Linked DNA regions of Oryctolagus cuniculus. The protein of the gene in region 1 purifies or fractionates together with the protein of each later gene. This does not show direct contact. Links are inferred from orthologs where the notes say so. Each region holds a gene or a part of one and is shown in the gene's direction. Other genes may lie near its edges.

Region 1 (3,198 bases):
AAAAATACTGCAAGGAACTCCTTTTAACCTTTACTTAGGTTTACTTTTTGTTAACATTCTATGTCATTTGCTTTTTTTTTTTTTTTTGACAGGCAGAGTGGACAGTGAGAGAGAGAGACAGAGAGAAAGGTCTTCCTTTTGCCGTTGGTTCACCCTCCAATGGCCGCCGCGGGTGGTGCGCTGCGGCCAGCGCACCGTGCTGATCCGAAGGCAGGAGCCAGGTGCTTCTCCTGGTCTCCCATGGGGTGCAGGGCCCAAGCACTTGGGCCATCCTCCACTGCACTCCCTGGCCACAGCAGAGAGCTGGCCTGGAAGAGGGGCAACCGGGACAGAATCCGGTGCCCTGACCGGAACTAGAACCCGGTGTGCCAGCGCCGCAAGGCGGAGGATCAGCCTAGTGAGCCGCGGCGCCGGCCGTCATTTGCTTTTTGATGTACTCTGTGTGTGTGTGTGTGTTTGCGTGCACACGGGCATATGCACGTACAAGTGAGAGCAAGACAGAGACAGAGAGAATGTATTCATATATACATAATTTTTCCTGAAGCATTTATGGATGAGTCCCTTGTCCCTAAATACTTCAGTGTTTATTTCTAAGAATAGGGCTATATTCTTATCCAGGTAGTAACTTCTGATTTCTTAACTGGGATAGTAATGAAACAGGAACCCATAACATCAGAAGTAGGTTCAGTTTTTAGCCTTGACACATCTGGGTGTGCTAAAATATGCATCATCCTTCTCTTTGCAGACAGCATAGAAGCCAATGTGGAAAGTTCAGAGGTGCACGTTGAAAGAGCAACTGATCAGTTACAGCGAGCTGCTTACTATCAGGTAAAAGCAAGAACCAAAGAAAGTCACTGTACTGCAGACTTCATGGGCCACCACAGTGCACTGACTCTGAGCACAGCCCAGCTTTTTGCTTAGGCTGAAGCTGGAGACAAGCAGTCATACTTGCAGGTCCAGTCCCAAGTATTTCCTTTGCAGGGAGATCTACAAAATGTCATCAGACCATGAATAAACATATACAGAAACCTCAGAGCTGCAAAACTAATAACCCCATAAGCTAGCATGAAACCTAGAATATAAATGGTGTAAGGCTAATCTTACATCCTAATCAGCTGAGATGTGCTTCCATTAGGATAGGAAGAAGTACAGTTAAAGCAGGGTTTCACAGGATTTATGTTGACTGTTGGCACAGAAGATGGACACAGACCACTTCAACTGTTATTTATATCTGAATAAGTAGAGCTTAGTCATACTGGAACTGTTCCTGCAAAGTAAAGTTCTACTTACTAGTTGAAACTGGTTTTATGATTTATCTGGGTCTCTATCTCAGTGTGAAAATACCGTGAACGTGAGGTCCTTCTCCTTTCCTCTCAGTTTGGTTTTCATGGCTTTTTGGAAGTCGTGTTTTAGTCATTTTCCATGTTCTTAGACTACCTGTTCTTAAAGAAATTGTGTTCAATAATAATTTTACCTTTATAAACTACATGATGTCTTTAGTGTCTAATGGTAAGGAATAATTTTATATACATCCACTTGGTATTATATGATGTGAGGATTTAGTTATATTTATGAAAAAATTGTATTAACAAAGATGCTTATATAAAACATTAAGTGAGAAAAAATCAAACATCATACAGTATGTATGCAAATGACAGTATGCATAGATAAAAGATCAGGAGTTACAATCAAAACATCAACAGTTTGATCTATGGGTGATTATTTTTCTGCTTGCCTTTTTTTTCCCAATGCATATTAAATTTTATAATAGGTATAAACTTACTAAAATACATATGACAAATATTATTATTTTTTCAAGATTTATCTGTTTGAAAGGCAGAGTTACAGAGTGTCAGGGAGAGACACAGAGAGAGAACTCTTCATCCATTTGTTCACTCTCCAAATGGCTGAAACTGAAGCCAAAAGCCAGAAGCCTCTTACAAGTCTCCCAATGTGGGTGCAGGGGTCCAAGTACTTGGGCCATCTTCTGCTGCCTTCCCAGGCAAATTAGCAGGGGGCTGGATTGGAAGTGGATCAGTGGGGACTCAAACCAGCACCCATATGGGATGCCAGTGTCAGCAGGTGGCAGCTTTACCTGCTATGCCACAACATTGTCCCCTCCCCCTTTAAAGATTTATTTATTTGAAATGTAGAGTTACAGAGAGGCAGAGGCAGAAAGAGAGAGAGAATGAATGAATGAGTCTTCTGTCCGCTGGTTCACTCCCTAAATGGCCATAATGGCCGGAGCTGGGCTGATCTGAAGCCAGGAGCCATGAGTTTCTTCCAGGTCTCCCACGTGGGTGCAGGGGCCTAAACATTTGGGCCATTTCTGCTGGTTTTCCAGGTGCATTTGCAGGGAGCTGGATTGGAAGTGGAGCAGCCGGGACTTGAACCAGCGCCCATATGGGATGCTGGCACTGCAGGCAGCACCTTTATCCGCTACGCCACAGCTCCAGCCCCAATAGCATTATTTTTATAAATAATTTCTATCATAATAGGTATGTCTCCTTTGCAAAACTGTATTTAAGGACCTAGAATTAAAACTTACACTGCTGCCTAGTGCTAGTGCTGATGACTGTTGAGATTTTGTGAATGTTCTCTGCCTATTTGTGCATGCATAGAGTTAATTTTGTATTACAAGGAGGCAGATTTATGAAGCACTCTTGGAGTCTTAGATATTAAAACTTTTGTTTCATGAGTGTCTTCTTCACATATTTCTTTCCCCAGAAAAAATCTCGCAAGAAGATGTGCATCCTGGTGCTTGTCCTGTCTGTGATTATTGCAGTCTTGATAATTGTTTTCTGGGTAGTGTATGGGAAATGAAGTGTGGTTGCCTCAAAGCCTTCTCCTGCTGAACTGTTTTCAAGGGCAAGTGCTGGTTGGAGTCTTGCCAGAACAAACTGATCACAAGAGGAGTGCACATACCAGAACGTCCTGTAACAATTTAGTTAGAAACTAACTACTAACTAGTCCTTGGAATTAGTGACCCATGGAGACAGTATTTATCAATATATGTATACATTTTATTGGTTTCTCCAATTAGGAATTAATTTATGTGGATTTTGCTTTCTCTTGTATTCTGATTGCCCTGTATCCCAAAAGTTTATTGAAAATTCCATTCTAGGTATTCTTTTTTGACAGGCAACACTACAGACTCGTAATATTGTCTTTTTATGTGTATACAAAATTTACCTTTTT
Region 2 (2,496 bases), on another chromosome or scaffold:
TGCTCACAGGTTGCATCAGTCACTGGCTGGGGACATTCAAAGCCTTCCTCTTCTGAAGAGCCAAGGCACGGGGTTAGCTTAGTCCATCCCCCAGCAACACTGGGATCTCCTTGATGAGCGCTAGAGCAGCTTGTCCTTTCCAGGTTTTCCTGCCAGTATCCAGAGGCAGTCATGCTGTGTATTTACTTTTGTTTTGGGGGGTGGGATTTTTCAACATAAACCCTGTAGTGCCTACCCTTAGTTGAATATTCAGTTCTACAGCATGCACTTTTGAAAAGGAAGTAATTGCTATTTTCTCTTCTCAGCTGGTAAACACAAGTGAAAACCTGAGCAAAAGTCGAAAGATTCTCCGTTCAATGTCCAGAAAGTAAGTTTTAAAATAAGGAGTAACAATTTAACTCTTACCTTCCAAGCAAGAAAGCTTAAAACAGTAACTTACTTGAAAGGGTCCCAAATAAAGCATCTCAGGACTTGATGCCATGTAGTCCCCCTCTGCTCAGTACCTCCCAGCACTTCATGAGAAAGTAGGGGCTGTGGTCTTGGGTAGTCTGCTATCCCAGTATAAGATCCCGTGTTAAAAGTAATCCACTCTCACTTGGAGCAGTGTACATGTTGACTGCTGACGGGACTCAAGTCCCAGTTTATGTTCCTTACAGAAGATGACACCTGGGAATAACAGCTCTGTATGTTTGACAGCTTCATTAGAAAAGCATTTGTTGCTATTGTTAAGTCCTTGTTTTTGGCTCTGCTTGCCCTTCATGAGAGTTGGCCCCTTTTCTCAAAGTTTTGCCTTATGAGCAAGAACTAGACTTTAAAACAGAACCCTACAGGAAAGCAATTTTTTTAAAAAAGATTTTGAGAGGGAGAGACAGATTCTCCATCCGCTGGTTCACCCCCCCACAAATGGCAAGGGCTGGGCCAGGAGCTTCTTCCCAGTCTCCAGTGTGGGTGCAGGAGCCCAACACTTGGACCATCTTCCACTGCTCTCCCAGGCCAGGAGCTGGATCAGAAGTGGAGTAGCACCGGGCACCCATATGGGATTCTGGCATTGCAGGTGGTGGCTTAATCCATTATGCCATAATGCTAGTGCCAGAAAAGGAATTTTTAAGTTAAAGTTCCTAGAATTTTTTTTTTTTTTTTTTGGACAGGCAGAGTGGACAGTGAGAGAGAGAGACAGAGAGAAAGGTCTTCCTTTGCCGTTGGTTCACCCTCCAATGGCCGCCGCGGCCAGCGCGCTGCGGCCGGCACACCGCGCTGATCCGATGGCAGGAGCCAGGAGCCAGGTGCTTTTCCTGGTCTCCCATGAGGTGCAGGGCCCAAGCACCTGGGCCATCCTCCACTGCACTCCCGGGCCACAGCAGAGAGCTGGCCTGGAAGAGGGGCAACCGGGACAGAATCCGGCGCCCCGACCGGGACTAGAACCCGGTGTGCCGGCGCCGCTAGGCGGAGGATTAGCCTAGTGAGCCGCGGCGCCGGCAAGTTCCTAGAATTTTTATATAAAAAAAGACATTCTTGTATTTTGTTAACGCTGTCTACCTCATGACCACAAGTTATCCCTAGGTTATGGCTAACAAGCCTCATGAGGTGTTGCCTACTCATTAAAGAACCTTCGAAGTACTTAGTGCTAAGTGACTGCATGATGAAACTCGATGGGCCTTACAACCCCAAAATACTCAGATAGGAAGAAATAAGGTTATGAGGATTCTGACTACTCCACTCTGGCTTCTCTTCTTAGAGTGATAACCAACAAGCTGCTACTTTCCATTGTCATCCTGCTGGAGCTGGTGATCCTGGGAATCCTGATCTATTACAAATTCTTTCACAAGCATTGAACTTTCTGAGTGGAGGAGTGTGGACCAGAACTTTGACCCTGTGAATGAAGCATGTTACTGCTGTGAACATGCTGTGTAGCCGGAGTGTGGGAGGAGGGGGGGAAGAACAGCGACAAGACGAGTGATATACCAAGGTAATAAATGCTGTTTATGACCCCTTTAAATGTACATAGTACCATAACATGTTCATACCTGTGGACTGGGAAAAATACATTTGCAGTAGGATTATTGGTCACCAAAATGCAGAGGGGCACCTGTACCGTTGTGAGAATGCGCAGATGTGCCCATTAAGGCAGTGCTGACCCAGACAACCCCGTCAGTCTGTCCCCTCAAGTGCCTGCGGTTCTGGAATGCCCGTTGTGAAAGACCGTCAGTGCAGTGTCTCCTAAATTCTCACGCGCTCTGCATTTTCCGATTCGTGTGGTGAGCTGGGTGGAGGAAGTTGCTCATAGACGGTGTGTCCTCCTTCCCTTGTCTGACCAAAACTTGAAGCAATCACATCCACCGCCAGGCTAGCTGTGGCCTTCGCCTCTTCGTCTGAAGCAGCTAACCGAGGATTGACTTCAACCAGGTCCAGTGCTGACAGCAACCCTGGGAGAGCAGAGTGCGACAGAACCTCAGAAAGTCCCCTAGCTGCCACTCATGAGGGTCATCGCGCCTGGGC
Region 3 (3,500 bases), on another chromosome or scaffold:
CAAGTCCTTGGGCCACTGCACCCACATGGGAGACCCGGAAGAAGCTCCTGGCTTCAGATCGGCACAGCTCCGGCCATCTGGGGAGTGAACCAGTGAATGGAAGACCTCTCTCTGTCTCTGTCTGTACCTCTCTGTAGCTCTGCCTTTCGGATAATGAATACTAAATCTTAAAAAAAAAAAAAAAAAAAAAAGACAGCCTTCTGTGTTAGACTGTCAACAGCTTCACACAACTCAGGGTCACCACATCGCTTGACTGCATCAAGATGCTGCATGGGGGGCATTGGTCTCTACCATCTGGGTTCGTGTAAGGGCATGCTGTGATTTTGTTCACACAGGGACAAAGTCATCTAATGATGCATTTTTTTCAGAACATGTCCCTATACCATTTGGTATGTGGTGAACTTAGTTTCCGTATCACTAGAAATCTCATTTTGATATAGTCTCTTAAAATGTGGGGTCCATCTTTTTGTGTCTTGCCCATCCTTGTATTGCTTGCTGTGGTGTCTAGTACAATAATGATCTTGTAAAATCTGGTCGCTGGGAGTGTAACTCAGTGAGAAAATGAATGGGACTCCAGCTGACTCCAAGCCCAGCAAGACAGGGACTGTGCCAGTGTTGCTTCTTTCTTACATTCTGCCCAACACAGCATATGGTGCCTTGCAGGGGCTCACAAGCCTGTGAGCTGACCCATAATAATCCCTGTGTCCTGTAACCATTTTGTGCAAAACCCACACTTTGCAGTATTTTAAGGGATGATGCTAGTTACTCTGTTATAAATGGTGTTATATCATCAGTAAATTTGTGTGTGTGTGTGTATGTGTGTAAAAGAGCCAGTGAAACAGAGGCACACAGGAAGAGGGAGGGAGGTGGGAAGAGAGAGAAGGAGAATTGAAAGAAATGCCCCATTAAAGCTAGACCACTGTCGACTTGGAATCCCACAGGCCCAGGCATTACCACACCTGGCTTCTGCCCAGTCAGTGCTGTAAACTCATGGTTGAACCTTGTCTGAGGCCCTCATCCTATTAACTATATTCATCTGTGAGATGGTTGGACTAAAAGTAATACAAGGTTAATGCAGACCTGACAGCCATGGTTTTTTCATAATGCATTGATAGGTGTCAATACAAATGTGAAAATGCTGTACTACTTATGGTGACACCCAGGTGTATATACATATACATTTATATATGTATATGATTTATATATATGTATATGATTTATGGCATAGAAATTTCAGAAGGGCACTGTGAATAGAAACCTTTATGACTTTCCAGTGACAAAGACATCACAGCCACAAGATTGTGTCTGTGGGAAGGATCTGAGATTGACAGCCACCTGTCAAGACCAAGGAATGAGGCCTGGGACCCAGGGTAGTGGCTCCAATAATTCCCACTTCAAGGCATGTCCTCCGTGGATGCTGATCCAAGGGGGCTTACTCCAAGGAGCACAGAAGTGAAGGGTCTTGTATTGGGGATGAGAGTTTGAAGTCTCCCATGGAGGAGACAGGCATGAGTCTGGGACTGTGGGGTCTCTATTATGATCACAACTGTCTCCCTCATCTCTAGTTAGAGGTGTTGTCTCTTGTCAGTATACACGGAGCCTTGAATTGCCTTTGTGGCTGCCTGTCATGGTGGTCGGTTTCTGAGTGTCTCTAGCCAAAGTTAGGGCTCTGTGTTCAGCTTCCCCTGCCTACCAACCCGTCTCTCTTGTTCCTCAGAGGCAGAGGCTGCAGCCTCCATGAGGCACAACCACACCAGGGAAAGATGAGCAGAGACATCTGCATCCATGCCTGGCCCTGCTCCTACTACTTGGACCTTGAGAAACGATGGGTCCCTGGGAAGCTGTCCTTAACGTCGCTCTCACTGAAGTTCACAGCGGACAGAGCTGGTGAGGTTCTTGTTGGCTTTCCCCTCTCCAGCATCACTGAAGTGAAGAAGGAGGCTTCACATTTCATCTTCAGCTCCATCACCATCCTGGAAAAGGACCATGGCAAGCACTGGTTCAGCTCCTTGAGGCCCAGTCGCAATGTAGTCTTCACCATCATTGAGCACTTCTGGAGGGAGCTGCTGCTATCCCAGCCAGGAGCTGCTATGAACACTGTGTTGTCCCCCTCATCCCGGGGGAAGGAGCTCACTGGATTGATGGCTAGGTCCCAGAAGCGTCTGGAAGATACTGCGAAGGTCCTTCACCACCAGGGTGAGCAGCTGGGCAGTGTCATGAGGGGCCTGGAGAAGATGGAGTCAGACCTGGATGTGGCTGACAGGTGGGCTAGCCAAGAAATTGCTCTGGCTCAGCCAGGGCAGGGTGCATGTTTGGTGTACAAAACATGTTCTGAGAACAAGACTGAGAGACACACACACCTGCATTGCACAGCATGTGGGACACACATGGTGAGACACACGCACCTGCAAGGCACAGCATGTGGGACACACTTGGGGAGAGACACGCACCTGCATTGCACAGCATGTGGGACTCACATGGTGAGACACATGCACTTGCATTGCACAGCATGTGGGACACACACGGTAGGACACACGCCTGCATTGCAAAGCATGTGGGACATACGTGATGAGGGACACACACCTGCATTGCACAGCATGTGGGACACACATGGTGAGAGACACACACTTGCAAGGCACAGCATGTGGCACACACATAGTGAGACACTGGTGTGAGCTGTGTGAGTAATGTGTACACACCATGTGTGGTATACAAGGTGAGAGACACAGGCATGAGCTGTGTGAGTGATGTGTTCCTGTCAGTGAAGCTCCTATTTGGTGATCAGGACACACTTGCCTCACACATTGTGGTTGGGAGAGTGAGTTTTGGTGAATTTTTGTTTATTTCCATTTTATTTGCAAGGCAGAGAGAGAGAGTCAAACAAGGAGATCCTCTAACTGCTGGTTCACTCCTCAGATGCTCACAACAGCCAGAGCTGGGCCAAGCCATAGCCAGGAAGTCAATCCAGGTCTTTCACATTGGGAGCAGAGACCTAAGTATTTGAGAAATCATGTGCTGTATCCCAGGGTGCTCATTAGCAGCAAGCTGAATTGGAACTGATGTAGCCAGAACTCCAACTAATTTAGAATGCAGTTGTCTCAAGAGGCATCTTAACCTCTACAACAAATGCCTGCCCCTTTTACTTCATTTCAAACAGTTCGTTCTTCCTGGGACTCCCTTTTTTTTTTTTTTTTTTTTTTTTTTACATCTGACAACCTGGACTGTTCTTGTAATGTTATTCTATTCTCACGTTGCCTCTTTTTTTTCTTTTCATGGTACTGTGTGTATCTTGCGTTTTATATCTCTTCTATTTCTGTTACACTTCATTATAGGAATTAATTTTTCCCCAGTGCTTCTCTTGAGTGGCATCTTGATCTTTCTTCTGGATGATGCCTCCCGCATGTTATCACTGGCATTGTTTCACACTTTTTGGGGGCCTGCTTTTTCCTGCATACTTTTTCTCTGTTTTATTATGTGTTTTTCTCTTCAGAAACATCTCT

What was found. The genes of interacting proteins can lie anywhere in the genome.
Region 2: the proteins of STX12 (region 1) and VTI1B purify together in Homo sapiens (affinity purification with mass spectrometry; 3 studies listed by BioGRID and IntAct, counting the BioPlex papers as one, with this or other methods). This does not show direct contact. The link is inferred for Oryctolagus cuniculus from reciprocal best matches to the Homo sapiens genes STX12 and VTI1B.
Region 3: the proteins of STX12 (region 1) and SNAP47 purify together in Homo sapiens (co-immunoprecipitation; 3 studies listed by BioGRID and IntAct, counting the BioPlex papers as one, with this or other methods). This does not show direct contact. The link is inferred for Oryctolagus cuniculus from reciprocal best matches to the Homo sapiens genes STX12 and SNAP47.

What each region holds. Positions count from the first base shown.
Region 1 is NC_091438.1:143,809,393-143,812,590, reverse strand, and holds the end of STX12 (syntaxin-12), read left to right. Parts: intron 1-745; coding exon 746-828; intron 829-2,344; coding exon 2,345-2,479; 3' UTR 2,480-2,698; downstream 2,699-3,198. UniProt on the Homo sapiens protein: SNARE promoting fusion of transport vesicles with target membranes. Together with SNARE STX6, promotes movement of vesicles from endosomes to the cell membrane, and may therefore function in the endocytic recycling pathway.
Region 2 is NC_091451.1:13,543,228-13,545,723, reverse strand, and holds the end of VTI1B (vesicle transport through interaction with t-SNAREs homolog 1B), read left to right. Parts: intron 1-305; coding exon 306-367; intron 368-1,735; coding exon 1,736-1,832; coding exon of another isoform or gene 1,833-1,876; 3' UTR 1,877-1,996; downstream 1,997-2,496. UniProt on the Homo sapiens protein: V-SNARE that mediates vesicle transport pathways through interactions with t-SNAREs on the target membrane. These interactions are proposed to mediate aspects of the specificity of vesicle trafficking and to promote fusion of the lipid bilayers.
Region 3 is NC_091437.1:30,912-34,411, forward strand, and holds part of SNAP47 (synaptosomal-associated protein 47), read left to right. Parts: intron 1-1,717; coding exon 1,718-2,263; intron 2,264-3,500. UniProt on the Homo sapiens protein: Plays a role in intracellular membrane fusion.